2 linked regions of the Kluyveromyces lactis genome follow. The protein of the gene in region 2 interacts with the protein of the main gene of each other region in a biochemical or structural test. Links are inferred from orthologs where the notes say so. Each region holds a gene or a part of one and is shown on either strand. Other genes may lie near its edges. The genes, in order: BUD6 and BNR1.

Evidence for each region.
Region 1: the proteins of BNR1 (region 2) and BUD6 form a complex in vitro, tested with the Saccharomyces cerevisiae proteins (3 studies listed by BioGRID). The link is inferred for Kluyveromyces lactis from reciprocal best matches to the Saccharomyces cerevisiae genes BNR1 and BUD6.

The regions. Positions count from the first base shown.
Region 1 is NC_006039.1:1,621,099-1,638,186, reverse strand, and holds BUD6 (formin-mediated actin nucleation enhancer), read right to left. Parts: upstream 15,441-17,088; coding exon 13,347-15,440; downstream 1-13,346. Other genes in the region: ERG26 (sterol-4-alpha-carboxylate 3-dehydrogenase (decarboxylating)), read left to right, coding at 698-1,753; CORVET complex membrane-binding subunit VPS8, read right to left, coding at 1,800-5,396; EFB1 (translation elongation factor 1 subunit beta), read right to left, coding at 5,746-6,289, 6,580-6,659; SFH1 (Sfh1p), read left to right, coding at 7,382-8,710; NKP2 (Nkp2p), read left to right, coding at 9,007-9,462; TAD3 (Tad3p), read right to left, coding at 9,468-10,454; EST2 (telomerase reverse transcriptase), read left to right, coding at 10,737-13,322; MMS22 (Mms22p), read left to right, coding at 15,738-17,088.
Region 2 is NC_006042.1:996,277-1,013,775, reverse strand, and holds BNR1 (formin BNR1), read right to left. Parts: upstream 9,950-17,499; coding exon 6,098-9,949; downstream 1-6,097. Other genes in the region: KLLA0_F10978g (uncharacterized protein), read left to right, coding at 1-2,297; ATG44 (mitofissin), read right to left, coding at 2,490-2,702, 2,857-2,865; COA1 (Coa1p), read left to right, coding at 3,145-3,687; AIM20 (Aim20p), read right to left, coding at 4,003-5,049; POT1 (acetyl-CoA C-acyltransferase), read left to right, coding at 10,936-12,150; SMU2 (Smu2p), read right to left, coding at 12,251-12,877; KLLA0_F10835g (Zn(II)2Cys6 transcription factor domain-containing protein), read right to left, coding at 13,994-16,264. UniProt on the Saccharomyces cerevisiae protein: May organize microtubules by mediating spindle positioning and movement in the budding process. Potential target of the RHO family members.

The sequences.
Region 1 (17,088 bases), on a different chromosome or scaffold from region 2:
GAGAGAAAATGTAAAATTTGATTTTAGTCACATGATGTTTTATGATTTTACTTAATTTTTGAATACATTACGTACGACAGACTCCACTGTCAAGAAGTTGAGCAGGTACTATAATCTTCGTTCCTGTTTATGCGTTTTTACTATTTATTTGAAGGTAGAACTGTTATTGAATGCTAACATTTGTGTTACTTTTGATTGATTTTAGTGAATTTTGCTTTATTTTATAGAATTTAATTATGTTTTTTGTATTTTTTTGAAGAATTTATTTTAACTTATTTTTTATTATTTTCTGAAAATATTTTTTTTATTTATTCTATTTATTATTTGCCATTATCTAAGGATTCTATTGCATATGGACAATTTGTATGTACAAATGAACTAATTAATTGTATGTTAAAGCAAAAATACAACTCTGGCTTAACAACACTCTAACCACTAACAGATCAAGAAACCTAAATTATTGTGATCATTAAGTATAGGAAAGGAGAAACCAATGGCTATTAATTAGTACGTTATCTTTCTATCCGACCATTTCACAATTTGGGAGACACTTTAAATTTGTCGTTTAGTTCTGTTTTAATATTCAGAAAAAAAAACAATTAGAGAATATTAGTTAACGTTAACACGATATTCAAGATCACACCAGGCAAATCGAATTCTTATCATACGTTGAGTCTACGTAAAACAAACAACTACTATGAGTTCAAGCGATGTTAAATCTGTACTACTAATTGGTGGATCTGGATTTCTAGGTCTCCATTTGATTCAGCAATTTTCTGAACTTAAACCACAACCTCAGATCCATGTTTTTGACGTAAGACCACTTCCAGATCGGATCTCAAAACAATTCACTTTTGATCCTTCGACAATTACCTTCCATCAAGGTGATCTAACGTCACCTGCTGATGTTAGAAAGGCAATTGAGACAAGTGGTGCCACGATCGTCGTTCACTCGGCATCTCCAATGCATGGTAATAGTCAAGAGATTTACGAAAAGGTCAACGTTAAGGGAACAAAAAATCTATTAACTGTCGCAAAACAATGTCGAGTTAAAGCAGTAGTATATACCTCATCTGCTGGTGTTATTTTCAATGGTCAGGACATTCACAATGCTGATGAAACTTGGCCAATTCCAGAAGTTCCAATGGATGGTTATAACGAAACAAAGGCAATTGCGGAAGAAATGGTGCTATCAGCAAACGATCCAGAAAATGACTTCCTAACAATAGCATTACGTCCTGCCGGTATTTTTGGTCCTGGTGATAGACAATTGGTCCCAGGTTTGAGGCAAGTCGCTAAGTTGGGGCAATCAAAGTTTCAAATTGGTGACAATAACAACCTGTTCGACTGGACCTACGCTGGAAACGTTGCAGATGCTCACGTACTAGCCGCACAAAAGCTTCTGAATCCAACTACTGCTGCGCTAGTATCTGGAGAAACATTTTTCATCACCAATGACACACCAACATATTTTTGGGCTTTGGCACGCACGGTTTGGAAGGCAGACGGTCATATTGATAAGAGAGTTATTGTTCTAAATAGACCCATGGCTATTGCTGCGGGGTACCTATCTCAATTCTTCTCTAAATTGTTGGGCAAAGAGCCAGGTTTGACTCCCTTCAGAGTTAAAATCGTTTGTGCCTACCGTTATCACAACATTTCAAAAGCTAAAGAACTTTTAGGATACCAACCAAGGGTTGATATCGAAGAAGGTATCAGAAGAACGTTGGCATGGATGGATGAAGGCTTATAAAGGCCAACTCTATATGAATTGTATATATCTATGTCTATCTATAACTTTACTCATCGTCACAAGTTAAACATTTGAAAGCACCCTCGTGTTGGCCCATGTTTTCTAAACAGGAGCTGTGGAAACTGTGCCCACAACTAAATACAACGAGTGCACTGCTACCACTAGCGGCGACCTCGTGGCATCTCGCTGACTCCCACTGTTCAAAGACTTTATTATCGATTCCAATTCCCCATATTTTCTTGCCACATACTTCACACTCATGAGACTGAATTGCCCAACCATGTTCTTTTCTGTGCATATAGGTTGTAATATCTGATGATGCACTTTGATTGATAATCTGTAAAATAAGAAGTTTCACTGTCTCTTCGACAGAATAAGCTGTGAAAATATTCTTCAACACCACTTTAATATCTTTGATTTTACTCAAGATAAGAGATTTGTTTTCAAATATCTCCATTAGGGTCTTCCAGAAAAAGCTCTCCTCCGAGTTTTCGATATCATTCAGGTTCCCATCTGAAAGCTCAATAAATACTTTCTGCAAACTTTTATCACAAAACGCTTTTTGATCATCGGTAAGAGTTGGGTATTGAGAGACCAAGTTTGATATCAATTTAACCCAGTTCTTGTTAGTTTCATCTGTCTTCTGGGATACACTGATGCCTAAATCCAAATAATTATCAATTTCGTCAAAATCATTATTTTGTAATAACTCGTTGATTTTCGAGTTTATTTTATCTATTGCCGACCCATAGTTCTTTAGCCGTACTAGCAATCGTATCAAAGTTCTCGAATCCCTATTTCCGTTAATAATATCTACAATACTCTCAACTTCGATGTTTTTAAGGTCAATATTGTCAACCCATTGTGATACACCGGACGCATCTCCGGTTTCATACAACAATGATAGATACTTCGGCCTTGCTTTCTTCAAAAATGGGGCAGATAGATGATAGTTCCCAGACAGAAGTATACGAAGATATCCTAAGAGCGTCAACGGATCAGAAATAAGAAGAATTTTTTCATGTAAGCTACTATCAAAAGAGTCTATGATTGAGACAAGGGAACGCTGATCTTGACAATTTTCGATAATCTTCGGAAATGTATCTGATAGAAGGTCGCAAATTTCACTTCGACCGATAGGCGATTTCGCTGTAGCACCATCACATAGTTTCAAACCTGCAATAATATCATTGCCATTCGTATTCCTGTGTTGATCGCTAAGAATAAAGGTAAGATAATCTGTATATCTTCCGGCCTTTTTATATAGCAGAAGCCGAACACGATAAAAATCCACTCCTGACATTTTATCAATTAGGGCGTTAATATTATCTGGTGAATAAACAGACAATAGTGCTTCAAGACAATCTTCAGAAATTTGTTCAAATCCTTCCAAATCAGCAGATAATATGACGTCTATTTGTGAGTCAATGATAGTGTTGGTTAGGCGAATAAACTGAGAATACTTTGGCAAATTGTTGAACACAAAGAGGGCAATAAGAAGTTTCACATGATTTTCTTTGAAATTCTTCTGTATGTCCAAAAGAACATCAATTATATGTTGTCTAGTAAAATGAAATCCATTTTGAGGGGATTCATTGAACAGAACATCTTCAAATGAGACATCAAGAACGTGCAAGAAATTTTGCGCACTTGATGATATTAAAAGGGAAGCATATGGAAAGGCTGGTTCTTCTGCTGGTAGGGGACACGTTAAAAGCTTTTTTCCAGAGCCTTGTGGCCATTCCAAAGAAGAGCCACTAAAAAGTAAGCTGTAATAAAAGTTCTTTAGGTATAGAATCTTTTTGGAAGGCACTCTTTTTTCTGTTGGATAAACTTTTCCCAATAAAGTTGATTCGATGTACTCGAAAAGGGTATTATCTTCAATGTTAGCATCAAAAACTACACAACATTCTTCTTTGCCAGCAAAGTAAAATATTATATCCACTAGGGGACTTTTATAATCATCCAAAATGGTTGTCCAGAGATATAAAAGTGCAGAGTAGAGACGAAACTCTTTGCAAACCTTGAAAGCATAATCCAAATCCAAAGTTGTACCGTCTAGCGATAATAAAATTGTCTCTAACCTTCTATCATTTCCTGAAGACACTGTGTATTCCATCACAGCCTTGAAAAGTATTGGTGAGAGGTATGTTACTGTCCCGTTAACGATTTTTTCGTAAAGTATTTCTTGAAATTCTTCGTTATGTTTGGTCATCAAAGCTTCCCCTACCTGTTCTAAAAGCACATACATCTTTTCATCTGAGAAAATACTTCCCAAGTCCAAAATCAATGATGTAGCTTCAGTGACCTTACTGTAACTTATATCATCTTTCTTCAGTAAAAATTGAACAGTTGCTAGTGTCAAGTTGTTAAACGATGGTTCAATTTGTCTGATTCTTTTCTGATAGTCTTTTTCCAGATGTAATAAGGCGGTTATCGAATCGAATGATGGACCTTGTAAATAGTAACCTAGGGTTCCTAATGCATTAATGTAATCTCCTTTATGTATATGGTGTAAGACAATATCGGACCATGAGTTAATTTTCCCCACCATTAAACTGTAATTGGTGAGCACAACAATCGTGTTATTTAACGTAGCGAAATGGTTCTCAGATTCTGGAACCATCAGTTCATGAATAAGTAAGTCAATACTAGTGAGTACAGGATCCTCATCGGTATCAACACTACCTATGTTTAAAACGAGAAGCTTACTTGACAAGAGCAAAATAGTCAAAATGTTATTTGTGAGCCAGGCAACTTTACAAATGCATTCAGGAGCTTCGTACGTCCATTGTAAAGTCGGAAACCTGATATCGACAAGGCTCAACTGGTTATCTACAGAGAAGGCAACCTGATTTGGATTGACGTCATTCCAGGAGATATATCCAAAAGTGGCCGAGTTTTTGTGTGACAATTCAATGAGCCGATAAGTTGATAAAGTTGGCGATGACAATGATATGACTGCGAAGGATCGATTAGATAAAACTGCTAACAGATGTTCAGCATCATAATCTTCACCGTTGCTTCGAATGCGCGTAGTCAATAAAGGGTTTATCATTGGATTCAGCCTCAAGATTTCTTTTGCACTAGGTACCAATTGCCAAAGATGATTTCTAGTACCCTTGTGAAGTACAATATGTCCTGTAGAATCACTGACTGCAATATTGGTATGTTTCCCCGGGATAAAATTAAGACCATTAAAGGAATGTCCTCTATGAGAAGCAATATGCAGCACGGCTTCTAGATGATTAGAATCGGAATTTTCATCGACTTGAGAGTTTAAGTCCCACAGGAATATATCACCGGATTCATAGGCTGCGCAAACATGGGTACCATCCTGATTTATATCGATAAATGTTACCTTGGATCTAAAATCTGGTAAAGATGGTGCTAGTACAGATTGAACGAATTGTTTCTTGTTAAAGATAACAACGGCTCCCTTTGCCGTACCTATGATATAGTAGAGCTGAACCGGAAGAATGAAAGTAGGTCCCCCATAATATGATAAATTCGGATACACTTGTTGCAATGAAGTCCAGCTTACATGCAGGGATTCATCCTGAGAGCTCTTAAAGGGATTAAACTTTTCGAAATCGGTTGTGTTGTTTCTCTTATCGTGGCCAGTACTATGAGAGCCATTCATTTGAAACTTGAATCTTGCTGGCAATTGACAAACAGGTAATCGAAAACTGTTTTAACCGAACTTAGACCGTAGGGCTTCTGTTGCCTTTCCTGTTTTTTTTTCTCATATTTTACCTTAAATGCAGCATGATGTTTAATTAATTATCTATATGCATTTATATTATGCACATTTCTATTCTTAAGATGCTCAGAGGCTGTAAACCTAAAAGAAAGATGAACATAACAGGATAAAAGAGACAGCAAGGGTTCGGGTCCAGCAAGAAAGCACGAAGGGGGTCGTTGAGAAATATAGTATATTTATTTATTCATTTATGTAAGGGGAAAAAGGTGAAGAACTTAAATTAGTTTAATTACAACTTTTGCATAGCAGCAACATCAGTAGATTGGACGTGGTCTTCATCTTCTTCGATAAGTTGTTGCAATTCATCAAGAGAAACCTTAGCATCTTCGATGACCATGTTAATTTGCAACTTCTTGATACCGAAACCAATTGGAATCCATTGGTGAGCACCCCAGTTCAAACCATCCATTTCGATGTTCTTAACGTTGGCAACCAATTCTTCCAAATCGGTTTCGTCATCCCATGGCTTAACATCCAAGGTAACGATAGACTTAGCAGCAGCCTTTGGCTTAGCAGCCTTCTTTTCGTTGTATTCAGCGATTCTCTTAGCCTTCAATTGTTCAGCTTCTTCATCGACATCATCGTCAGAACCGAACAAATCGACTTCGTCATCGTCATCTTCTTCTTCAGCAGCAGCTGGTGTAGAAGTAGCAGCTGGCAAGGATTCGAATTGATCAGCCTTGGAAGCAATGTGGTTGAACCATCTAGAGAATTCTGGGTAAGTAGATTGGAAAGCCTTGAAAGCAGAGACGTCAGCTTGAGTAGCAGAGGTACTATATTGATGCAATTGTTAGTTAGTAAAATGGAAAGAACAAAAAAATGAAATTTTTTTGTATGGCAGCTAAGCTTGCTTGCTGAAAAGAGAATTCAATAAAAAAGATAAATCAGAATCGTACTGTCTAGGTACTGTCTCTTTGTCACTCATACCGGGGGTCTTACTTCCCGTCATAAACACGGACCAAAGAATTTGTTCATCATTGAAATAGTAAACTTTGAAGAATTCTCTTATTCAAAAAACTGCTTGATGCCATTGGAAAACCACCACTATAATTATTTCACATACCCTTCAATGTAAGACTTGTCAGCCAAGAAAGTGTTCAACTTTTGCAAGGTTTCGACCTTGGAGAAATCAGAGAAAGACATCGTTAATGGATAGTTAAACCTGGTGAGAGAAGAAACTAGGAAAGAATCAATTCCTCTTCTTCTTCTTACAAGGAACGTTGAATCAAATTGACGAAAAAAAAATACTGAAAAGCTGATGAAAAACTCTAATTCGAAAAGTTCCAATATATATATATATATATTTATGAGATATATGATATGTAAGACGTATGTACTATGGAATTATGGCATCTACGTGTATTCAAAGTGCATGCAATGTGCGGTGGAAGAAAATTTTTTTTCTTCCTTGTAAGTGCGATGAGATAGATACTGGAAAGGCAACAGCAGAAAACAGGGCACGCTGCGGCGTGCCCTGCGACAATTTGAGAAAAACCAAGTTTATTTTCAAAAATCATGGGTCCACCCCTTTGAAAAACGATTTTGCCATAGTAAATGGTTCCAAAACGGTACGGATTTTTCTGAGAAAGTGTTCTTTTTTTCATTTTTTTCAAACTGGATTCCTTTTCTTTTGACAAGTGAAATGTTTACTCAGGGTAACACTTAGATTGTTCAATCAACTCATCACTGTATACGAATATGAAAAAGTATCCATCAATTCAAGAATAGAAGTGCAAGTTCGTGTTTTAGGGCTGGTTGAATAAAGACTATGATAGTGTTACTACAAACAAACGGTTTACTCATTGAAGCGTGCTGATATACAGCAGACAAAGCAACTACGACCTGCCTCCCAAAATTGTATTGATATGTCGCTCGTACCGCAAGCCTACTTGAGTAACTTCCATAATAGAGTGAAGAACGAGGATGTTCCGTTGTTTACTGCTGCGCAGTTATCGAGAAACAAGAGGGGTAAACAGGTGAACTACGCTGAGTTCGATACGGATCTCTTGGATGAATTCATCGACAAGAACGATGAGGATGATTTGGAGGATGATGTGGACGATTCGGATGGTCGTCGTAGGGGTGGGGACTACTATGATCAAGTAGACGGTAGTGATGGAGGTGCTGCGGCTGCTGCCGCCACCGCCGCCGCAGCGGCGGGACTCGGTGAAGATGGTGGCATTGGTGAGGGCACGCCCGGGTCTGGTGACCCCGGTGCTGTCACTGGCGGAACGCCGGCTGCAGATACTGGGCCAGACGGTACAAACGATGGTACTGCAGGAACGTCAAATCCTAGCTCAGAATTGGATCGCATCAAACTAAACGACTTGCCCGACCTTGAAAGTCAGGATGATTCTGCCACTCCGCTAGCTTTGTTGAAATATCCTAGGATTAGGGAAACTTTCGTGCAAAGTAGGATCGCTATCAGTTATAAAGACCTTCTTGGAGATTCTATCCAGGATCCGCAGCAAGTGGATATAGAAAGCCCGATAATGGTTCCAATACGGTTAAACGTTGAATTCAGTGGACACAAGTTAGCAGATTTTTTCATGTGGAATTTGAACGACCATTCGATGACTCCAGAACAGTTTGCTACGATCTTGTGCCAGGATCTTGATTTCCCAGTGCTTTCCAACCCAAATAATTCCCCATATACACAGATTATCTCTATGATTAACGAACAATTACAAGAATATGAAACATTGGCATCTTTACAGGTTCCTGATTTACACGTGATAATAAATTTGACTGCAAATCTCGATTCCAAGCTTTATGATGACACTTTTGAATGGAACCTTAATGACGATTCATTATGCCCAGAACAATTCGCAGAATTGGTGGTACAGGACCTGGGCTTGCAAAGAGAGTTCGTTCCTGCCATTGCACATTCGTTGCATGAATCCTTGCTAAAGGTAAAGAAGGATTGGCTCGAAGGTAATTTGAATTTGGCCCATGTAGAAAATAAGGCAGCTTTCGGTTACACATCAGGTATCCGTCTAGATATAGATACACTTGGCGCCTCATGGTTCCCTAAGGTAGAAGTCCTCTCACAATGGGAAATCGAAAAGCGTGAAATTGAAAAGGAGAGAAACATGAGAAGATTAAAGAGAGAAAGTGCCAAGGTCGATGACGGAAGATCCAGAAGAAGAGGCAAGAGGAGAATGGATGACTTGGAAACTACTTTGAGAATATAAGTGTGTTCTCTTTTCCGGCCAAGCAGTTTAACTTCACAGACGCCCATTAGACAAAGCTGTATAGAAAATAAAGTTCTCCATCTATTCGTGGAGATTTATGTATCATTAATGTATTAATACCACCGTCATCTGTGGTTTTGCACAAATACTCTTCCTTTTCGTCAGACTATTATTTATTTAGTCGCCAAAAATCTCCACAACAAATAGAAAAAGATCAAAGATCATCGCGAATCAGTAATGCGTACGCTGGGAATAATAAAAAGTACATACCCGAAATCCTTATTACTTCAATTACTATGCTCCACGAAGTATTATACAAGCATTTAGACGGCATTTTAGTCTCACGTTTGTATACTGAGGATCAGTTTGTTGATCTATTTTCTAGAACGATACCGGAATCCAACACTGTGATCGCGTCACAGTTATACAAAAGTTATGAAGAGAATGATCAACGGATCATTGAAAAAATAGATAAACTCATCGACAACAAGCTGTCTTTGATAAGAGTTGAGCTCGAACGGGAACAAATTGAAGACTCCATTTCTCTCGAGGAAGTAAATAAACTATTGCATAGCATTGATGATATGTTGCAGCAGCATTTAAATCAATTAAACATTGAACTAGATAATAAAAATACAAAACTTTTGAAATATGCAATGGAACTCAGTGACATTGAAGCAATAGATACTTCCATGTACGATAATGTTGCAAAATTAATAACGGACATGGAAACCAACCAACCTTCTAGTTGAAAAGCTCAAGAACACACGGTAGAATCTATTCCAGGCACTTCCAATTCTTCACCAACCCATTGGAAGACTTCATACTTGGAGTTCAAATCTTTGTTTGAATGCATGCAGTATCCATCACCTGAATCAGGTTTCAGTGCACCGCTGACCGACATAGGATTGATGAATATGCATCTTTTCACTCTGGAATGAATTAGTGCCATGCTGCACATTGAGCACGGCTCATGACTGGTGTATACGTCAAAATCTAAGCAGAGATAAGTTTCCCCTTGATGTATATCTTTTTCTGACGCGGTACCGTTTTGGACACGGTCTCTTCTCTCCTGCTCTTCTTTAGCTACCTCATTTATTCCGACCATAACACTGTGATCGAGGGGAGATCCACTATGTCTATAATCCTTTGATATTATAATTTTACCAGATTTTGGATTAACGAATGCCGATACTATTGGAAGTTGCATGCTATCCGAATCTCGGATTGCTCGAGACTCTTCTGCTATCTTGGTTAACAATGACCGAATCTCTGTCATGTCAAATATATAGTCGTTTAATATCTGGTCATTAGGATTTCCTCTCCAAATTAACGGCCAATACTGTTCACTCCACTTCAACATTAAGCTTTTAGTCGATGGACCGACCTTCGGTACTTTGTTATCGTCTTTCACATTGTCATACTGGAAAACGACTCCTTTCAGCATATTGTCAAAAGTTGATCTATCCGGTATGTACTCTTTGGAGCCGATAAGTACTCGTAGTGTGTCGCTATCAAGCTTCTTGATCCGTTTCACATGAAGGAATGAAACGGGGTCATTATCCTGAATACCTCGTACGAATGGTATCACTGACTTACTTTCCCTTGGACGTACTTCGATAGACCAAGCCTCAACTAGATCAGGCACATCAACGTTTTTGGTATCTCGAATTTGCCAGAGGCAATCTTCGACGATGCATTTTATAAAATCGATCTTAGTGGGGTTCAGATGTTTCTTAACCATACTGTTAGCTTTTCATGTGAATAACTAGTAAATCTAGAGCTATAATTAAGCATCCATTTCCTTTACCCTTTACATATTAGTATATCATCTCATCGCATCGCATCTTACATTTCTATCATTGAAAAATTCATATCCAGAAATTATAGGCTACGAAACACTATTTACCAGTTTAGATCATGCTCGTAAGAAAGATGAACACTGAGAATAATTAATAAGAACCTTAAATTGATCATCGAGATGACTAAGGTGACTTCGAATAATGACCTATATCAATTGGTTTAGATGAAAATTCTTGTCGAATATTTGGAATCTTTAGAGTGCTATGAAACCCTCAGAAAATCGGATATTCTGATCAATGCTGACTCTAATGGGGTATCCAATCTGTTACTCAGCTGTTTCGCACAAGTTAACAGCAAACATTGCGTACCTCCTGAAATTGAAATATCTTCTACTTTCAGCTCATCGTATCACTGTGAAACTATAGAAACATGCATTCTCTACCTTTTGCACAAGAATTTTACGAATAATATACTGACTTATGGTTACCAGCTGGGAAAGAATTCAGATGTCATGACCAAACTGTTTTGCCGTTCATCGAACATAAGCGTAAGTGTATTGAAATGTAATAGCTGGAGATTGTTCCATCAGCTGGTTGGCACTGACAATTTTGTGAATTTGTTAATCAACTATTCCGTATATTTCAACACCGGCCATTACTTCAGGCAGATAATTGGAACCCCCGCTAACGCGCCTCAGGTGCCACCTGCATGGCTAGATCGGTCGTATAGGAGGGAAAGAAATACTAAGCTAACGATAGATTGGAACTCTGCTCTATATCATAAGATAAGACCGCAAGATTACAAGAATATCATTGAGACTGATCAGGGGCTGTTAATAGCTGAGATTTTTCCGAAAATATCAGAGAGCAGTAAGACACCTCGTTCTCTAAACTTTGCATTGAATAATCTAAAACCCATTTTATATGAGCTCATTCGAGCTCACGAGAGGTTTTCATATAGACACATCATCAATAATATATGCCCCAAATCAGATACTTTCTATTCATCACCCAAAAGTGTCATCAAACTGCTCATTGTATGTGTTAGAAAAACGTTCCCATTGGACCTGTTAGGATCAAATTCAAACTATAGCGTTCTATCAAAAGCGATTGCAATACTTGTCAAAAAACCGCTCCATTCAAAGATACTATTTGATGAATTATGTAAAGGATTGCGTGTGAAAGATGTCAAATGGCTAGAAACAAGGCGGCTTCCAGCTGGTGAACAAACTCAAAAGATTCCATATTATGATGTGAAAAATCGACAAGCGCTTCTTTATAAACTGTTTTTTTGGATCCTTTCCTGTTACGTCCCAAAATTACTATCTACATTTTTCTATGTGACAGAACTATCGTCGACTGTCGATATAGTTTATATTCGTCATGATACTTGGAAAACCATGTCACAACCTTTTTTGAAATCTTACTTTAGGAGGTATTTGCTTGAGAATAAATATTGTTTCCAGCACAGATCTTTCACAGAATCCAAGTTCAATCACAGAAATCTTCGTTTAATACCAAAAAAATCAGGCCTCGATTTCAGAATAATAGCGGTGCCGTGTAAAGGAGTCAATATACAAGAGTTTAACGAGTTTAATGATTACGTTACGAACGCTCTGAAGCCCACCAAGATTATACTGGAAAGATTGAGGATGAGACGAAATACCAAGTTTACAAAAGCATTCTCTCCTTTGGAAATACCCAAGATTGTATTAAGTTATAAGCAAAGGCTACTTTTAAAACATGGTAAAATACCGAATCTCTATCTTTTAAAGTTTGACATTCAATCCTGCTATGATTCAATTCCGGTTCAGAAAGTAATGAAATTGGTAGAGGCTCGGATATGTGAAGAGCAGCAGTTTTTTATTAGATCTCAAGATATACTGACAACTGCTTCCACTCGTCTGAAAAGGCTTCATGCTGTAAATGGAGACATACAATTCCAGGAAAATGATTTAGTAATTGATTCAGTCAAAACTACTGTCTTATCAAAAGAAGACGTTTTAACAGTAGTTAAAATGGAACTCTTCAAAACCAGTATCTTTTACAGAGGCAAGTGTTACTTAAGAAAAGATGGACTCTTTCAAGGAACTCCCTTATCTTCCGTTCTTGTTGATATATTGTATGACGACCTACTTGAATTCTACACCGAGTTTACTGATGAAAATGATTCAGATCCGATGATAATACGGCTGGTGGATGATTTTCTAATAGTTTCAACTTCCAAGAAATACATCGAGCGGCTTAATAATCTGGCTCAAACAGGATTCAAATCTTTCAATACTTATATAAACCCACAAAAAGTCTTGGTTACTTCATCAGAATCTGAAACATCAACAAATGTACCTTTTTGTGCACTGCAGTTAAATCTAAGAACCCTAGAAGTTTGGAAAGACCGCTCATCGTATAATGTCCTAGGAACAGTTTTGGGATCATCTAAGCAACTGTATAATAAATTACTCTGGATCTTTGAGATGAGACTATCTTATAATATGCTGGACGAGCGCTTAAATTCTTGGGAAACGGCTGCAAGGTTCCTGAGAGAAGTTGCGTTAAATGTAATTCAATCGTTCATTGTCCTTTTTAATAGGAAGAAAAGCAGCAGAAGATCTTTCAAACAATTTGTTTTCAACATTTTTCAGCGAATTGATCTTAACCTCTCTTCAGCTAATATGTTCTCGATGGAAAAGTCCGTCGCGTCAAAAGAACTGGTGTTGTCAGTTTTCCTTGAACAATTAAAATTAAGGAAGAACGCATTTGCAGACATTTTGACAAATGTCAGCGATTTGAAACTATTAATAGAGTTTTAATGCTATTACTTAAAATTATTGTACCTATATCAGACCAAAATTAACACGCAGATTTTCTTCGTCTTTTTGTTTTCTTAGGCGTTCTATCTCCTCAATGCCACCGGCCTTTTTGAAGTTACCTTTCTCAACGAAATTGCCCAACTCATCTTCAAAGGCTTCATTTTCCTTGTACTCTTTCTCTCTGTTTCTTAGTTTTTCTGCCTTTTTAATGGCTTCCACTCTACTGTCATGATCTGGGTTGAGATTCTGAACTTCAGTCAAGACTTGATCGCGGATCATATTATATGTGCCTGGCTTGGCTATCGGAAGAATGGGGTTTCCCTTATTCTTCTTTGGGGCCTTTTCCTGTTGTTCGCAGCACAATTTAACCAAATCAAATGTCTCCATAACCTTATTCAAGTCTTCTTGTAAATCAAATACGAGATCTTCTTGCAATGTCATGAACTGTTGCTCTTCACACACCCTATCTAATTCCGCTTCCCAAATAGTTTTCCAATTTGGCTTTTCGACATCTATATAATTTCTCATTTGATCCAAATCCTTCTTAGCGGAGTCTAATTCAGACGATACATTTTCAATCTTCTTCTTGGGTGTTCTCGCACCTCTAATGGCCACATCTTTACGTAATGCCTCAATGACATCTTGAAGATCGTCAACTTTACTCAAAAGATTATCAGAAACTTCGGATAACTTCGACTGGGACTTTTCCATATAATCGCGATTAGCTGACTTTCCTGTAGTTATTGAAAGGCTCTGGAATTTCTGTAGTTTTTCCACGATAGCGTTTATAGTATTTTGAAGCGATCTCTTTTGGTCGCTATGTATCTGTTTTAAAACGGTAATTTCGTGCCTAATATGAGCAACTTCTTTACGATGATCCTCATGTATAACTGTTGCAGAATCTGAGGATTTTGGACCACTTGAATAATCTGGTGACGATACGTGAGTACTATTTTGGATAATCTCTTTCAAATTTTGAAAAATTGTATCTTGCTTTTCTAATAAACCATCTTGAAGTTGGCGGAACTGTTCATCTAGAGACGATGATTGTACCTGTAATTGGAATACGCTCCCATCTATTATACCATGTAGGTGACTCTCTTCAAGTTCGTAAAATGCCTCGTATTTGGGTTCCTTCACATATATGTCAGGGAATACATCACCTCCTGGGGAATATGCAAATTTCTCAACAAATAAAAGTCTAAGCTTGTTGAAAGAGAGGTGAGAACTAGTTACACATCGTTTCACCTTCTCACCGATCTTCAAAAAGACAACAATTTCATCTATGCTTGAGTTATCACCTTTTGGTTCTGGTGCTCCTGTCATGGGATGATAATCTACGGATGAAGCAGAAGAGATTCGAGAAGGCTGTCTTTCCATTTTAATGCTTTCTGTATCAGAAACATTGGCCGCTGCTGCCGCTGCAGCAGCGGCTGGAACTGCTAAATTTTTAGACGTTGGGGAATTCGATGGATCTGAAGCTGTTTGGTTGGCTAATTTCGCCATATGATACGCTGAAAACCTCTTCGAGGCTCTTCTTTGCAGATTATTTCCCTTTTTCAATTGAGTTAACGCATCGCTTTCAGAACCCTTGGGAACTTCTAACGTAGGTATCTGTTTTGTTTCAATATGAGCTGAAGTAGATGTCGGTCCCGCGCCAGCCAAAGATGTCGTTGCGCTGACTACGGATGAAACGGAAGATCTTTGAGGAGTATGCTGATATTTCAAAGCATCTTCATTCCTGCTCAGTTTTATCATCGCCTGTTTAACCTTAAGTTTCTCCAAGAGTTTAACTATAATATCTCTGATCTGCGGTAGGTATTTATTCAACGTTTCCTCAGATGCAGTCTCTCTCAATGCCACCTCCAATATTCTTCGAAGGTCTTTTGGCACATCGCCAAGATCCGAAATATCAATTCTAGCATGGGTAAAATGTCTACTGACTAACTTGAAATCATTACCCAATTGAACATACACATCGGAAACATTACGCTCGGTAACTTTGCCCTTGGACCATTGCGTCAGAATTTGTAATAGTTGTTTAGTTGAAATCAATAGTTTCGTCACACTAGTTTCCACAGATGATGCTGATTTAGAAATTGGTGGTGGTGTTTCCATCTTTATCAGACACACCTTACGTACCTCACCCTACTGCTTCCACACACCTAACTACTAGCTAGGAAATCCAACGTACACTTTTTAAACGGTATGTTTCTTCAAAGCATTACTAGATCAAAAAGCTTTAGGTTTGATTTGGTTTGCATAAATCTTTTGTTGATAAATATCAAGAAACGTAATTTCCTGAAGTTAGGCCGAGATAATGAAACAGGAAAGTATGGAAACTTACCATTTCAGAAGCTAAGCAACCAACAGAGACGTGTTACCGCGTATGACATATAGCGTGGTTTCTGTGGGATGAATCAGGACTCTGTAGTCCCCAATTCGGAGGCTAGTGATGAAGAGATCGTAATACCTCTGCATTCGGAACCAAATGTATTTCCAATCTTCGATGACGAATACCAGGTACGCGTCATTCCGGGCAGTCTCGATAACGTAGCACAGACACCTCCTGATATTGGAGTTTACTCTAATAGTATAAGACGTGCATTGAGAAAGCGTAAAGCAATCCAGAAGATGCCGTATAGTTTGGATAGAATACGGCATCGGCAGTTATTGCAAGGGTACGATGTATCTAATTTCGAATCTCTAGCAGATCATATCAATCTGCCGAGTGGTTCCCGGCAAGATATTACTGTTAATACGGACAATGGGGGCGTGCTCAATTCGAGTCCTGTGAAGGGCGGCCTTTCACAGCAAGAACACTCGACTATTGCGTCAACAAGGCTTCGAAGGCATCACCATTTCCATATTTCAGATGATGATGATGATGATGAGGTATATGGTAATGCTGAACTAGACAGCGATGAAATTCGTGACGAGTGTCATTCGGAAAGTGACTCGAATCAGTTTGATAGATCCAGTTTATCCTATGATGATAACGTTGTTTTTAGAGGAAGGCAAGTCAATATCAGAACAGGATACAAAGGTGTATTACCCAAAATGGCGTGGAAGAAAGCACTTGATAACAATACAGTTGAAAGTAATAGACAAGGAAGAAATAAAAATAACCACTACGATGAAAATTCACGGAGTAAAGGTTTAGCCAAGAGAAAAATATCTCGTAGAACGTTTAATTCCAGAGACGACAACCTTGTAAACGAATTAATAGAATCGGATGCTGAAATTGAAGTTGGATTCCCGGAAACATATCTACGGCTACAGAATGAGCAAGATTCAATGGAAGACTCAAAACTAGAGGAATATTTTCTACAGAAATATGAGCCAGAACCAGATTCAGATTCAGATTCAAATCCACCATCTTCAGCTGATGATATTACTGAAATTACAAGCCAGGGGATCGAACTACTTACTCTAGATGATGATGAAAAGACTGCGTTGGAAACAATAATCTTTGAACCTTCGAGCATTGAACCTTCATCTGCAATAGCTAAAGATTCTACTAGTGAAATAGATTTCATGCTAACAAAGACTCAGAAGAATCGTAGAAGTCTGGATAGTAAACCCACAATCCTGAAAGATAAATCAAAACGTACAGGTATCCAGCGTCATGGTAAGAAACGAGCTAGAAATATAACAGGATCACGCGGGCGAGAAAGAATATCCATGATGAATAAAGTTAGTCCTTTCAGAAAAGTTAATTCCAATAAAGCTACAAGGGAAAATTCCTCAAAAAACAGCTACCGGG
Region 2 (17,499 bases):
CGAGTGAGAAAGGAACTGTAGCTAGCAGTGTGAGTGACGATTCGGGTGATATGTCAGAGGAGCATATGAGCAATTTGAGGAAGAGAGTTAAGAAGGAACCAGTCAATGCTCTTGAGGTTTCAGAATCTTTAGGGTATCAAACGTTTAGAAGAAAGATGAGGAAAATATGGACCAAAGAAGAAGATGATCTGCTTAGAAAATTGGTTAACGAATCGTTAGTAAATTTGGGATATCCGGATGGTATCAAATCTATTAAAACAATTCAGCAATCTAGTAATGTTGTCAAAAAAATTCCCTGGGATCAGCTTGCCAAGCAATTCGAATTGGATAATAAGAAAGCGACGGATGTGAAAAAGAGATGGACTAGTTCTTTAGATCCTGTATTGAAGAAAGGTAAATGGACACCAGAGGAGGATGAGCTTCTCTTAAAATCATATGAACACCATGGTCCGCAATGGTTTAAGATTTCCTACGTTTTAGAGAATAGAACTGAAGACCAATGCGCGAAGAGGTACATCGAAGTGCTTGATCCCAGTACTAAAGACCGACTACGACCTTGGGATGAGACGGAAGATCTTCTACTTATAGCGAAGGTCAAGAAATATGGTACGAAATGGAGGCAAATATCGACGGAAATGGATGCTAGGCCAAGTTTAACCTGTAGAAATCGTTGGAGGAAAATTATCACTATGGTTGTTAGAGGCGTTGCATCTGAAACCATAAAAAGCGCTGTACAAGCTGGAAACATGGATGCAGGTAACGAGATGACCAGATTAGGTGAAGAAAACGAAAAGGAAAACAAGACTGATGATGACGAAGATGTTTCACGTCCTATGTCAACTTCAAATACGCCACAACCTTCAATGAAGAGCCCGAGTGGTACTGTAAAGAGAGAAGAATCGACACCTATGATATTTGACATGACTAACAGAACTAATTCTAGTGCGGCATTGTTGGATGTCTTGAAAACTGGAAAAATCAATGCGAATGATGGACAACAACCACACCAATCTAACGAAAGATCGACAGCCACCCCAGATCCAGCTGTTTTAAATAGCATAATATCGCCTTCACCGCATTACAACTCTCCACATCCTTCTATTTTTGTTGGCAGCATCAACAAAAAAGAATCTGCATTACCATCACCTAGCACATTTCTTCCAATACCCAATGTCGAAACTAGGAAACAACAACCAGAAACAACAGTTGACTGGAAATTTAGTCTGAAGGAATCTTCAGGTCATACCTTATCCAACGGTGTTATATCAAACGCTGACTTGGTAAAACAGTTAATAAATCATGCCAAGGCCAATGATTTGAAAATATCAATTCACCAGCATATTCACAACCATTATCTGGCTCCCAGACAAATATCTCCACCTCCGTTAATGTTACCACAGCAACAACAAAATAAACACATTGGTAATACTACTTCAAATTCACAAGATCTTCCAAAAATTAGAAGCCCGTCCTTCTCTGACTTCGAAACTGATTTTCTATCCAAAACTCCAAACTTCAACAATTGGGGATTGGACGATGAAACTCAAAGTCCATCGGCTCTCAACGATAAACTACAACGATTTTATCATCATCATCACCATCATCATCATGATTCGCTAGATGAAGCTCAAGAGCAGAACATAAAACAACAGCATTTAATGAACGGGGCTAATTATGCACAAAACGGCTTAAGCCAGTTGCCACCAAATCCTACAAGTTCCACTGCATCTTATCCATCGCCTACAGCTCCAGAAATCAGAGAAATAGGGCCAAGTAGGCACTCACATTTCAATTATTTACCACCCACGGTCAAGCCACAGCTTGGATCCAGTGAAAACGCCAAGACAGTTGAATTAAGCCGATTGTTAAATCCAAGTCCGAATGGACTTCATGGACATAAGAGGAAACAAACAAAGAGAAGAGGTAAAAATGAATCCAGAAACTCTAGTGCTGCAGGATCGACAGGAAATACACCAGCTGAAGATTTTGATCGCAATGGACCCAAGAATAAAGTAACCCCAAGCACCGTGTCCTCAATATCAATTATGGAAGAAGATGGTAATGATTTCTGGGAGAATCTACGCTCACTGGGAGGTAACATTGGCAGTGATGGAAAAAGCTCAGAACGGAAGTCTCCTAGTATTTCACACATAAATGATCTCTTTCAAAATACAGAAAATGCTGCTGATACACCAACTGGCTACGATGCCATCTTTAAATTTTGCGAGCAGAAGCAAATGGACGACAAGCAATCAACCGAAGAAGTTGTAGCTGAATTCGCCATCAATCCAAGCTGAAACCAGCAATGTATCATTACACCGAACTTTAATTTTCAAAACCACTTAAATATATAATGAATATACTAACTATAAATATATGTTAAGGACTTACAATCACATCTGTTTCATTCATAGCTAACCCGTTATAGCGAAAAGATCACACAAAAAAAACAAATTAAGTTATTAAAGGGGAACTTCGTCTTTTGTATCTCATTTCCTCTGGAAATATGATGAAGATCCTAGAGTTGCCACTGTATAATCATATACTGACTCTCCCAAGTTCAAATATTTCGTGGAATATTCCCTAACGGTAATATCGCTAATGTGATCAATCTTAGGGGTCAATCCAGTATTTCTCTTAATACCTGCCAAGCAGGTAGAAATTAAAACAGCATCAATAGCCAAATGTACAGTTTTACCGATCTTAAATTAGTCTTGCTCATCCAATTCACACTCTTTCCTTCTTCCTCTTCGGAAGGAATGAGCGCATTTCATAGCATAGATGTTAGTATCTTTTAGACATATAATCGTAGCAATACGATTGACAACCCAAACTAGGCTTCATAGCATAACATACAAAGGTCATTTTAGGGAATAAACGTGGTTTATTTGAAGACACCTCGTCTTTGTATATTCTTTTGGCCACAGATGATTTCCTGTTTGCTGATTTGACTCAAGTTTCATACCTTTTTCTCGATTCATTGTTTGATTTCTACTATGAAATGATATTATAAGAAGATCCGAGTATTTGAAAAATTTAGTCGAAGAAGCTGGCCAGTACAACATACGATGATTAGGAAACAGGGAAGGGACATTGCTACACAATCCGCCAACACCAGCACAGGCTAGAAACTCCATATTAACAATGTTTAGACGCATCCTTGCACCAAGATCCGGAATTTCTGTGAGCAGAATACTTACAAGGAGGTTTTTGGCCTCTCAAGAACCAGAGATTATATTAAAAGACAAGTTTAGACCAATGAGAATCGATAGAGAGCTACCAGACCCAACTAAAGATGTCAACAAGAGAAGACTCCAGTTTGTTGGGTTCATTGTTCTAATGACCTCAGCATTGGCTATGATTTTTAACTATGAGAAGACACAGTCTCCGGTTATTTCCAATACCCTATACCATATGCGTCGTTCGCCTAAGATTAGAGAAGTTCTTGGTGATCAGATAGATTTCGATGGGCTCGTTCCATGGGTCTCTGGGGAGCTTAATCAAGTTGCTGGTAATGTCAATATCAAGTTTTACTTGAAGGGTTCCAAGGGTAAGGTCGGTGAAGTTCGATTAGTTGCAGACAGAGAGAACCAACACCAAGAATTTTTCATCCACGAATGGAGTGTCAAGGTTGATGACAAGAAATACGATCTATTAGAGGAAAGCGGTGGTGCTAAAACTTTATAAAAGTGTATTTTTCAACTGAGAATTCATTATTTATGTATCATTTTATCATAATGCATTAGCCCTTATTCTCCCTTGTAAGCTAACTGTGTACTTTTCCTTTCGTTATATCTTGTAAATATTAAATACACAGATTAAAATAGTAATAATAATAATAACAATGATGATAGTAATAGCAGCTCCAATATGGTATGAGTCTACCGGTTGGCAAACAATGGTTAATGAGATTTTTTTTTTTCGAGTATGTGAATTTCTCTCAGCCAGGAGATGAATGGATTTCCTCCATGGAGTGACAGATAGTACCATTTTACGGTTGCCTTATGTTTGTCTTTTTGGTCTCAAAGAATCGATAAATTCCCTTTTATTCTCCGAGTAGTTCGTGAACTCATTTTCGTACTGATCTTCTTCAGCAATGTGATGATCATCTCTGATATCGTAATTATTCTGTAGCCTATATTGTTCAGATGAATCGTTTTCCGCTGGTAAGGTCAACACTTTAGAACCTTTCGGCGTGTCGAATACATTCTCTATTATAGGTTTTGAATTCGTACTTGGAGAAGACATGTGTGTATGCAGCGATGTTAACGAATGTCTCGACGAAATGATAGAGTTATCAGCGTTATTAATATTATGATTGTTGATGGCATTATTATTATTCATACCGGAAATTTGTACTGACGAACCTCGCCTTGGATATGCACCCAAATCGAGTGTTCCGATCGTTTTTAGTAGAGTTTCATTCGATGAATTTCTCCTGGGCACAGATCCCTCGTCAAAAATGGATCCTGATCCATTTCCACCAACTGCAGCATCGGGCAGCATCGGTATCATCTTATCGAACATGTTGATCTGACTACTCTGTCTCTTTGGAGTATCTGCAGACGTGATCGAAGTAGAAGTACTTTTCGTGTTATTGCTCGAATCAAAATCCATGGGTTTCTGTATTGAGGAAACCGTTTCCTGCAACCGTTTACGATATGCAGGCGTATATATATTCCTTTTCCCCGATTTACCCCTACTGATGGACCCGGTAGACGAGTTATTCTTTAGCTGAGTACTAGTATGATCCACTTCCCTTTCCCTCTTCTCCTCACTGGACGATGCCGTTTCATCGGACGAAACGTGATTCCCATGAACTTCGTGCTCATTCTCCTGAACATGCTCACCAGCCTGCTGCATCTTCATCACACCCATATCGTTGAAACTCATCTCTTCATCAAAATTTGAATGCCCGTCGTGTTCCAGCTCTTCTTCCTTGAATCTCCTCTGCATTCGATACCAAAACCCAAACGCAACTATAATCCCCACTCCGATGGGTATTCCTACAGCACAACCAACGGCCACGCCAACAGTATTATCACTCATGATACACAGTACTTACGAATTCGTCAAAACTAGCAAAACTCGCGACGTAGAAAGGAATACTTATAACACTGTTCGAAGATCAGTTCACAAATATCGCAAGACAGGTCTCAAACCACGCTTTGCCTTATATCACCAAGTAACAAACAATCAGACCAAAAAAAAACCAAAGCACAAACAGATCCAGTGTATAACCGGGAACTACTTCTAACCTTCTTAATTTTATGCTAGGTGGATACTCTGTTCTGCCAAACCACTTAGCTGCTAAATACTTATAGATCTCCAGATCCGTTGTAACTGTATCTGCACTTATACATAAATATATAAATATATAAATCTCTCTTAAACCTAGATTTTTTCGAAAAAAAAAGAATGCTTCCAGACGGGAAGTTGTGTTGATGTTTCTGACTAGCAGAAGCTGTATTTGCTCGAGTCGTAAACGTTGAGAAAACGGAAATATAGAAGCCGATCAGAACATGCAGATCTTGCTATTAGCCGGTGGACATAGAGATAGGTAAGACCTGAGAACTGAGATGGGATGGTTTACAAGGAGTGTGTAGCGTTAAGTAAGGATACAGTACAAATATCTTGCGTTACCCTGTTATATTAGGATTACATCTTTTCTCGGCTTGTGGCTTGGCGATATAGTTGCGGCAGGATTGTTATTTTTGTGGGTTTAGGTATCAAATGCTGATGTAATATATCTAGGTTTTTAGATCTAGGTTTTTAGATCTAGACTGTGTATGGTTACGAAGAGAGAAGCAGAGACCGGTTTGTAGATGAGATTTGCATGAATATCGGAGTACTGTCAGTTTGGCTATGCTGAAAGGTTGGACAATTCACGAAATTTTGGGCTTCCGACGTTAAAGGGCTTTATTTTTCCGTTTCGTGGGGAAAAGTTATGTGAAACTTTTCGAGTAATATTGTTCCGGCGTTGGTCTATATATATATATATATATATATACGTTTAAACTGTTCATATGTATTGTACTTGGGTTTCCTGGATCGGGAAAAGTTTGTATGTGACTGAGGGCTAGAGGAGAGAGGTTGTTCACAGGTTTTGAATGCCGCTCTTAAGTGTCATGGCTCGTGATAATAGATTTTGATCTCTGTTGGTTCTTGGCGTAGAACGTTTTTCTGGATGAGATGATGTTCCGGGAACGGATGAACCAGGGATTGTCTGTTGAGGGTCAACGCTACGCAGTTTTTTGATCAGTATATCTATCGTATCTGCAGCTTCGTCATCGGCAGATTTTTCAACTTGGGTTTCTGTCGAAGCCTTCTGTAATAACTGTTGTCTTTGTTCATGTACGCGATTCATTGCTTCTCGTTCCTTGTTCTCTTGTGATATTTTATTGAAAAGCGTTAGGAATTCAGAGAAGTTTCTGAAGAACGTGTTTTTGGCTTCGGAATTTGTTGGATCCTCACCGCAGTACTTCATAGTGCTGTTGAAATCATTCATAGTCAGTTTACATTGATTATGTAACAGTTCTGCTTTTCTGACGGCACTGGGAAGCTTGGCGCTGATTTTCTTTCTAAATTTGTCATCTGGATGGTGTTTCTCAGTATGCGAGAGTTTTCCACGTTCGAATGACTCCTTCATTCTCATTATTTTTTCGTAATATTCGTGTATCTCACTTTCTATCGATTCAATGTTAATCTTCCCCAGGTCAGATAACCTATTCAAATCTCTTGTAAAATCGTATATGTCGGGATATTTTTCTCTGATGATTCTTTCTATCACATGCAAAAAGGATAAATTCTTATCACTGTTTGTCTTTACCATGGAGAGTTTGTTCAATGAGGAAAGTTTGATACCCTGCGTTTTCTTGTTGTTCATAAAGTTTCCGATCTCTACGACAATGTAGAAAAATTGTTTGAGTCTATTCGAGTTTTTGATCATTGAGGTCCCATCATCGATCTTCTGTAATTGGTACAAGATGTCATAATAGTCCTTTTCATATGTCAGAGCGATCAAGAGAGAGGAGCTTCTGATTTTCCAGTAATATCTCATGTTGTAAAACATTTCGAGGTATATTCTATCAGCTCTTTCCAATTTACTGACGTCTTCCTTCGGAGCCTTACCGGTTTTCCAATCTGACGCATAGGGTTCGAAAGATCTAATTATACTTTGGGGGATAGTTTCGAAGTCATCCTTGTTAAAGAACTCAAGAACGCTATGATTCTTGATTATATCATCGTCACACCTTAGTACTTTTATCAAAAGGTCTTCAACAGAATATGAAGAAAACATATGTAGGTTGATTCCAAATTGTTGAGCCAGATCCCTTGACAAAAGAGAAACTTTTTCGTTCTTCTTACTAGCTGTAACGTTGGATTTCTTCTTCATTCGAACTGCCTTCTGTTCAAACAAGTTCACAATCTCATTAAAGACACCCTTTTCATTTAAGTCCTCCTTTAAGTCACTCCTAGTTGTTGGTTCATTCCAAAGTGTGTCACTAATATCCTCTATCTTGTCCCAATGAATCTGCTTCAACGGTTTTACCTCTGGTTTAGGCTTAGACACGAATGTCACATTGTTAGCTAGAGGTAATGGTGGAGGAGGAGGAGGAGGCGGTGGAGGAGGAGGAATGCCGTCTGTTGGTTTTCCTGGGAGGGTTTCGTTTGGGAATGCAACTGATAAAGATGTATCTTCTACTGTGGATTCCTTGTTCAGGGATGACAGAGTTGATGGTAATGGTGGAGGCGGAGGTGGAGGCGGAGGTGGAGGCGCGACATTTGACGAAGCACAGGAAGCAGAACTAGTTACTAGGGCCGGTCCATTGGTCATTGGTGAGGTGAAGGCTTCTATACTTTTCAGTTGAGGCGGTAAAGGTGGTGGTGGAGGCGGCGGAGCCGCTGGTGCTGCAATAGAAGCAGGAATCACAAATGCTGTTTGGGCTGATGGAACTTCTGTGGTCGTTGCTGATACTACATCATTACTGGAAGATAGTTTTGGGAGTGCTGATACCTGATGGAATATGTCGTTCTTGCGTGGATATATCGGAGTCACTGGAAGGTCATCGTCAGAATTGTTATTCAAGATGTTATAAGGGGTAGAGTGCGGATATTTTGACTGAGGTTTTTCATTTGCAACAGTGGATAGCGATGCTATACGTTTACTTTTTGATAAGGAAGTTGATCGTTGAGTACCAATAAGCGGTTTATGTTCTTTTAAAGTCTCAAACAGTGACACAGAACGTTTTGGTGTATATTCTGCTACATCTCTATGGGCGATAGTGAGATCCAACTGTTTCTTTTCTTTCTTTAGCTGATTTTCTACAACTTCCAATCTGTCTTGCAATTCTTCTATTCTTATTTCCCTTGATTTCAAAAGTTCTTCTTTATTTTCTAATTTCTGCAGTAGATCCCCTTTGGAAACCTGTTTGTCTTGTAGCAATGTATCCAATTGAAGTTGTATTCCATCAAATTCTTTCTTCTTTTCATCCAGTTCCATCATTGCTCTTTTGGCAATTTGATGGGATTGTAAGTTATCCATTATATGATCTAGTGAGGTCATGAAAACTTGTTCCGTGTTGGTTTCATCAAAGCTACCATCCAAGGTATGTTCGCATAGATAGGTTAGAATAGAATTGAAAACATAGAACAGTTTTATTGAACCTTCCGTTGTTCTTTCATTTACTAGCTCCAAGATCGTTTCTATAATATTGCAAATAGGCGTTTCTAACGGCGTATCTTTAGTATATTCGATTAAACTCTTGATTTGAGGACCATAAGATATTTCACTCAGAAACTCATTTTTGAACTGTTTGTCTTGCACCTTCAATTCAAGTTCGATATACAGGTCTATGTCCTGATTCAAAGCTGATGAGTCTAAATCCTTCATTAGCCGGAAAACCCGGTGTATTCCAGCTCTCTTCCATCTTTTGAAACACGCCAGTTTTAGATCATTGGAAGGCAGAAGTTGTTGAATGGATTGAACCAGTAACAATGTAGATATAGAGTAATCTACGAGCAATTCTTTTGGTTTTGGAAGAATTAAAGAGTTGTTAAACGCATAATCCTCCGGGTTTCGAAGAGTCATTTCTACTGCCTGGATCCAACTTTCGTAGCACAAATCTAACGATTCCAACAAAGAATCTGACCATTCAGTGGAATATGTCAGAAGGATCACAATTTGGGTAGATAAAAGACGAACTCTAAGGTCAGTTGTGAGCGTTCCTAAAAGGCAGAAGACGTAAGTTATCCAATCATTATTCTGGAATATCACAGATCTTGCTGAAGTATCGTTAAGCAATGCTTTATAACAGCATAAGTACACGTACTGGGATTTTTTATCCAATAAATCAATGAACCCATTCAAAATCGAAACTCCGTTTGCATTCACAAACAGCGAAATAAAATCAGCATGTCGAAGTAAACGTTCCAATTGATAAAGTGTTTGAGTAACCGAGAATCTCTTATTCAAATTGCTCAAAATCATATGTAAAGTATTCAATTTTGAATCGTCTTGCATCGTTATATCACCATGTAGTTTCTTTTCCTTCTGAATCAATTCCCATTTACGGGTATACGACAAGCTTTTCAAATTTTGCTTAGCAGTACCTAGAAACGCATGTCCATTCAATAACTCTTCAAACTTGGCATCAATTTCTTGTTCTGACGGTAGCTGAGTGTCTGCTAAACACATTTTATCCGTTTTAGAAACATGTCGCGTAGAATCAACGTTCGGAGTTGAAAAGTTGTGTGATTTCATGTATCGCAGGGTCTGGGAGCGAGGTTTGAGCCCTGTTCCTACTAGATTCAGCCCTTGTATTACCAGATCATCGTTGGAATCATTGCTAGAAAACCTGGTCTTGGCATTTGCAGTCGGAGCATTAATGGATCCAGATCGAAGCGGAAACAAAATACTAATGGATTTTTCATTCTTATCAACAGTCATTGGTCGGTCAAAGTTTGTTGATTTTCAGTTGCAGAATTATAGCCAGAAAAGTGATTTGATACTCATCAATACAAGGAAAACGCGATCATTCAATAATGATCTGGGAGATAGCGAAATAATTTCACTAGATAAACGCTTGTACAAAAAACAATTTGTCAAAGAAAACGATTAATTCTAATGATTAGCAAAGCTGATTGTAGAACAGTTTTAGACTCTCTTCAAGTGTACGTATTTATGGATTTCCTTTGTGTTACAAAACATGTGTACTAAATTTCATACGCTTTTAGTGCTTCATTTTGTTACGTTCCTTAATAGATGGATCAAAAATTAAAAAACGTAAACAAAAACAGGATCAAAAGCTCAGAAACGCACTTTGGAAAGGAAGAAGAGACCAGAAGGAAACAGTACGCGACACGTGAAACAATCTATAGATACTAGTCACGTGAGTTGGATCTTCTTTGCTACCCGGGGTAAGTTTTTTCAACTTGGGGGTTACCCCGCATGCGACGTTGGTCTTTCATTTTTAGGGTATTTCATAACGAAAACCGGAATTAGTGTGACAATGCCGATCTCCAATTCTACGACATAGCCTTGAGCAAAGGCAAATTTGAGACTGTAGTTAGATTAAGTCAGGATCATTGTTAATGACATCGTGGAGCTCCGTAAAGTTTCTGCTTTTCAGTGTTGATGATTAACTGCGAGCTTAATGGCCGTGAAGAAGGGATGTATGCGATCATTAAATCCTCTTTAACATACTCCAAAACGACGGCTGGTTGGTTCTGCTCATTGTTCGTTATTCCCCATATTTATTTTAGCGAGTGATCCCTTTGACAAATAATTTTTTGTATAAATTACGTACATAAATGTGTCATGCTGACATTATTCCTTTATCACTGACTTTTATCAGATGAATTGATTGACAAGTGAACATCATAGGGCAAGATATAAGTATACTACAGGCGAGTACAGTCAATCAGAAATATAATATGGCTAGCAGACTTCAACAATTAGAGAAACATTTGACAGGACGCAGTTCTGAAAAGGATATAAAGAGTAAGAATCCGGACGATGTGGTTGTTGTAGCTGCGTATCGTTCAGCTATTGGTAAAGGGTTCAAAGGAGGATTCAAAGATGTTAACACGGATTATTTACTTACACAGTTTCTGAAGGAATTTTTTGAGAAAGTTGACATTGATAAGAGTGTCATTGAAGAAATTGCGTGTGGTAATGTGTTGAATCCCGGTGCAGGTGCGACAGAACATAGAGCTGCGATGTTAGCTGCTGGTTTGCCATATCAAACTCCGTTAGTGGCTATTAACAGACAGTGTTCCTCAGGGTTAACTGCCGTTAACGACGTTGCAAATAAGATCATTTCTGGGCAGATCAATGTAGGGTTGGCTATCGGGGTGGAATCTATGTCTAAGAACTATGGTCCGAAGGCTCTTGGGTCTATATCAAATGAGTTGAAATCGAACACGGCTGCTGCTAAGTGTATGATACCAATGGGATTTACTAATGAAAACGTTGCTAAGAAGTTCCAAATTTCAAGAGAAGACCAGGACAAATTTGCCCTGGAGTCATTCTATAAAGCGGAAAGGGCTGTCTCACAGGGATTGTTTAAAGATGAAATCATCCCTATTGAACTACCAGACGGATCTATAATTGCGCAGGACGAAGGTCCTAGAAAGGGCGTCACTTTCGAATCGTTACAAAAGATTAAACCTGCATTTGTGAAGGAAACAGGTGTGACAACTGCCGGTAACGCTTCTCAGATATCAGATGGTGTTGCTGGTGTGTTGCTAATGAGAAGATCCATGGCCATGAAATTGGGTTTGGAAATCGTTGGTAAGTACGTTGCGTTCCAGGCAGTAGGTGTTCCACCTGAGATCATGGGTGTTGGCCCAGCATATGCGATTCCAAGAGTCCTCAAAGACTGTGGTTTAAATGTCAACGATGTTGATGTTTACGAGATTAATGAGGCCTTTGCAGGGCAGGCCATTTTCTGTGTCAACCATCTAAAAATCGACAAGAAGAAATTGAACCCAAGGGGAGGCGCGATTGCCTTAGGTCATCCTTTGGGCTGCACTGGTGCCAGACAAGTCGCTACCATATTAAGGGAATTAGACGCTGGTCAAATTGGTGTTGTTAGCATGTGTATCGGTACTGGTATGGGAGCTGCTGCAGTCTTCGTCAAGGAGTGAGTGAATATTAACGTGTGTATAATGTAGTTTCCCTCTTCTGTAATGACCATTTCGATGAATATGATGAGTAACTCATATTATTCGCTACTGTGTTTTTTTTTCAATCAGAGAGTTTTGACATCAGATTCTTCTGTACCGTGTCCCTATTTATATACTCCGGAGACTGCAAAGAATTCCAGTTGGTAACCAAATAGTTTAATTGTATAACTAGCGGCTGTTTATCTTTGAGTAAAGCTTTTGATTTATAATTGAAATTGTTTACAATTCGTGATAACGGGTCATCTGAAGAACAGTCTTTCGGTTTACTTAGCTTTATGGCGGATTGAGGATAATCGACCGGAATGTTGAAAACACATTTCACTTTCTTTTGATTCTGATCTTGATCAGTGGTAATAAACGTTAGCGAGTAGGTCGTGACATATTGTCCTTTCCTTAACATTACAATATCTGACCCAGCCAAATGGCACAATTGGTCAATTTCGGCTTTTCTTTGCAACTTCAAGGCATTTCTCAATTTGAATTTTTTCTCTGCATTTTCATTATGGGATGATTTGGCGGTAATTTCAAGACTGGTTGCCTTCTCTGCAGGTACTGATTTTTCTGCCTTTGACCGTCTCCCTCTCTTCCTCCTATAACTATGTCCAGCATTTTTTCTCTTGTCAGCTTCACTCTCTTTCGTATGTTTAATTACGCCATTCTCAACTTTTCCTGCAGCTTTCGCAGACATGATGGTAACCCGATTGCTTGGCCTGATATTTAGAATCTCTCAAAATAATATCTACCGAGCAGAGTACGCTGAAACGGTTGAGATACCAATGGTTATATAGCTTAAGTTCTTTTTCATAGCTCCCTCATTCTCTATAAACTGATCTCATCTCATATTTCATTAACTTACCATGTCTACTGCCTAAATGCATAAAGTTTCAGTTTTTTTTCACAAAATTGGTACCTGATTGTTGTAGAAAAAACGTGACCAGAGTTGCGACACTGCCTCAATGAATACCGACTCATTCCTGAAGGCATCGAATAAAGAAACATATAGTCATTGGCGGTCAATTTCTGGAGATTTGAAAGTGAATTCAATCTATCAAACTTGATATTCAACCTCCTTAGTTTCTGAATTATGATGTTTTGACTATTACGTGGCTTCTGAGCTTTCAGGTGTTCACCTCTAATACTGTTCTTTGATGGTATCGAGAAGGCAACAAACAAAATCTCGAAGATCATGATCTTCCTCATCTTTTTGAAATTTATTAAAGAATACTACAACTTTTTTAGACTTCCGTGGAAAACATTTCCTATTTAAAGCAAAAAACGAGCTTTCCTTTAGTTAATTGAGGTTTTTGACGGTCAACATAAGTAAATCTAGGAATACTATCACCATTTAATCTCTAGTTAGCATTCCGTAAAAAATTTGTGGCACGACATACTCTCTGCTGTTTTCTCCTTTGTTACATTTTTGAGCGCTGCATCGACCGTTCTATGTTTTGTTTAAATATGCAGGATACGCCATTTTTGTATTTTAATTCCGAATTAATAACGACTTGAAGAGCATTTTTTCCCTAAACTGAACCTTAAACTCAAAACAATAACAGAAAAATTCCGTAAAAAACTTGAATCTGTGCGCTAAAAAAGCTGTTTCTTAATTGAATGAATTTTGGATGGGAGATATATATATATATTCTCACACATCAAGATAAATAAGTAACTGATTGAAAATCTATATTCTTCTATATTATAATTGAAATAGTACAACTTTGGCATGATATTTGTTCCAGTTTAGAGGATTCATTTAAAGTGATTGACTTCGTTATTTTTTTGGACATTGAAAGGGAATATTAACTTAGATGGGGATAAAGTCATGATCAGGATTGATGATATTCTGATAAGCACCAATTGCAACATTAGCTTTGATGGCGTTTAGCTTGTCTACACTATTTTTAGCAACTGCCATTCCGCTGTCGGTGATTTTACTCAAAAGGTCGATGAAATGGACATAAAGCACATCATCTTCAGCTATAATACATGTGAGTGCTCCTACGAACAACGATGGATGGCAGCACACCCCACAAGATGAGTAATAAGGGTTGCTATAAGAAGTTTTCACCATTGTGTATAGAATACTTTTGATCTCAGGAGATTTTGGATCAACATCAAGAAAGTACACCTTGAGATAGACTTCCATTAGAAAGTAAAACATGCTATGCGATGCAAGCATTGAAAATTTCAACCTTAGGTCAGTCACGTCGATGAGATTCAATTCTAGATTCGAATCTAAAACTGCTGAACGCTGTAATTCATCCAGCAATTCTCTACCGAACATAGATAATTGAGGTAAAACTGATTTTGTCGTTCCGTTGACTTTGAAAAGGAAAATGTTTAATCCGGAAATATCGACGCCTTTGTCTTTAAATTCGAACATTCGCAACAAGAGGTGGAAATACACAGAGTTGAGGTTATTGGACATACCTTTCAAGAGATTGAAAGAATTGCCTGTTAACGACAACGGAGAGCTTTCAGTAAGGAAAGCAGTCTTTGTGAATTCAGTGATATCAATTAAAGAAATTCCAAAATTCGATGCGATTGAAGCGGCTGTTTCCGCATGACAGAACCAATCCCTTAAAACACTGTAAATATCAGCAGCATTCTGCTCTAGATCGGTCAATTGACCCTTTGGCATCAATATTGATGCTCTGATCAAAAGCTGTTGACATCCTCTAAGATGAGTTCTCCAGAGATTACTTCTCAAGGCACTATTAGCAAAAAACATGAGGAACACGGTGAATGTTAAGCAAACATACTCCACAAAGTCTTGAGAATTTTGGATTCTTTCATTGATGGTTCCCAACACTTGTTTGAAACTTAAGGCTCTTACATAACGATCCCATATTTGGGAGAAATGATGCAACTTTGCATTTTCATACACGTCCTGCATAAAAACTGAGATGTCATATCGTATAGCATCTTGGACAATTGTATGTTTCTCATTCAAAGACCAGAGACACCGCATGAAGGTATCGAATCTATCATGAGGAAATAACAAGAAATTACCCGCGATCAAAGTCGTACAAGCAAATCTCCAAATGAAGTTAGTTAGGTTGGGATCATCGATTCTGATTTCGCTGATCGCAATTGGATTTACACTTTTGTATGCAGTTTGGAATGGATCCTCTTTCTCTAAAAGTTGTAACATATCTATCCAGACAAAGTTTCTCCAATTTATATCGTATGGTTTTAAAAGAGGTACCCAGTTCTTTAATTCTGTGGCTGAGGTATTAGGTTTGGCATTAAGGTTTGGTAAGCTCAGTAATTTGGCGTCTGATGGGGAGACACAAATGAGATTTTGTAAGTTAAAGTCGTTCAAATCCAGCAGTTGAGCAAAATCAGGTTTCACATTCCAGTGTAATGAATCTGCTTGCTGGGTTGAAAGTTGTTGTTGTTGTTGCTGCTGCTGCGGTATATTAGACAGCAATTGTAAATGTTCCTGCTGTCGTTGTGGTGGCTGTTGTTGTTGTTGTTGTTGTTGTTGTTGTTGTTGTTGTTGATGTTGTGGCTGTTGTTGCTGTGACAGCTGCGGCAGCAGCAATGGCAGTTGTGTAGGTATTTGTGGTTGTCCCTGCGGTTGTCCTTGCGGTTGTGCCAGCGGATGTGCCTGTGAATGTGCCTGTTGATGTGCCTGTTGATGTGCCTGTTGATGTGCCTGTTGATGAACTTGTTGATGGACTTGTGGACGTACTTGTGGATGCGGTTGTGGATGTGGTTGAATTTGCAGTGTATGTGTAAGTGATTGTGAAGAAGAAGTCGAAGAAGTCGAAGATTTCTTGCGTGGTTGACTACCTATCGGCTGGGATGGTATCTCCTTAATCATACCATCATTAGAATCCATAATTGAATGAATGACAGGCATGCTTTTCAGTTTCGACTGTGATACGTCTTGAAATACAAGACTTAACTGGTACGTGCATGAAATATTTCTCTTGACGCATTTCCCACATTTCGGTTGACCCTCATCACATTTCAAATGCGAACGTTTGCACTGCAGACATCCTTTTCTGGAATATCTTGTCTTCCTCTTCTTTCCAGAATTGGATACATCAAAGATAGACTCTTCCATCAACTTAAATAAGACAGACAAAAAGAGAATACTAAGAAGGAAAGTAAAACTATCGGTTAATAGCTTAAAGGTTAGCCTTGATCCCAATTACCTATAGTGTAATGTATGTTTCTTTATAAGTTCTTGGTTAAGTTTGGTAAAGGAAATAGTGATGAAATATGAATAATAATGAAAATAATATAATAAAAAGAATTAAGCAACGATAGTAATCTTGATATTTTGGGTTAATGTTAACTTTCTTCCCAATCAATTATAAAAAAAAAATAAAATAAAGGGAAAGGAAAAATTGGAGTGGAAATAATAACAATCAGTGCATCAACCCTCAAAAATAGTTCGGTGTTCTGTCTCACAAGTAACTACTAACGTTTCTGCTCTTGTCTCACTTGCTCTTCACTTTTACCTCTTTAAATGATTAATCAGAAATGATTATCCAAATCTTCACCGGTAGTAAATATTGAAAAACTGGAAAATAAAAAAAAACCTTGAAAACTAAAAAATGAAAAAAGTATACGCCTACTGAAATCGTCGTAAAAGGAATAATCGATTTGTTTTCTCGTTAAGAATGCACTGTAGAAATAATGCACTAGAGCCAGAACAGGGCAGGTAAAGCGGAAACGCACGCAGAAAGCAAGAACTCGTGAGTATTACAGTTGCTACGATATGTTTTATATATGTCTCTTTTTTTTTGTTTCAGCTTTTTGTTTTTGGTTTTCCTCGTAGTAGGAAATATAGCTTTACCGTCAGTAGCAATCACCACGCCATGGAGGATGATTGCTATGTAGGCAGCCGTATATATTTATGATGATGTGTATTCGTTATAAAGAGTGAGAGAAAAAAGTAAATTGACATCGGGCAGTATATGTGCATTTTTGTTTGTTATTTCTTGGTGCATTCCAATTCTCGGTGTTTGGGTTTCGCTCTCGAGACCTGGGTTGATTTTCTTTTTAAACTTTTAAGATGGACAATCTCGCATAAAAAAAAATTAGACAATAGTCTTTTTTTTTTTGTCCATTTGGAATGACAATGGCTCGGACACATCAATGCGCAGTGCCGTAGTAATGTCTGTAATTTGTCATGACATTCAACATATTTCTAGGCTCTTTCTTTTTTTACTTCCTGCTGTGTAATCATCGTTGCTCCGAAAGACTAAAGGATTCGAGAAGCGCACAAAAAAAAAAAAAAAAAAAAAAGGATATAGCCGTTTAAGCCGCAACTAGAAAATTTTCATCTTCGGA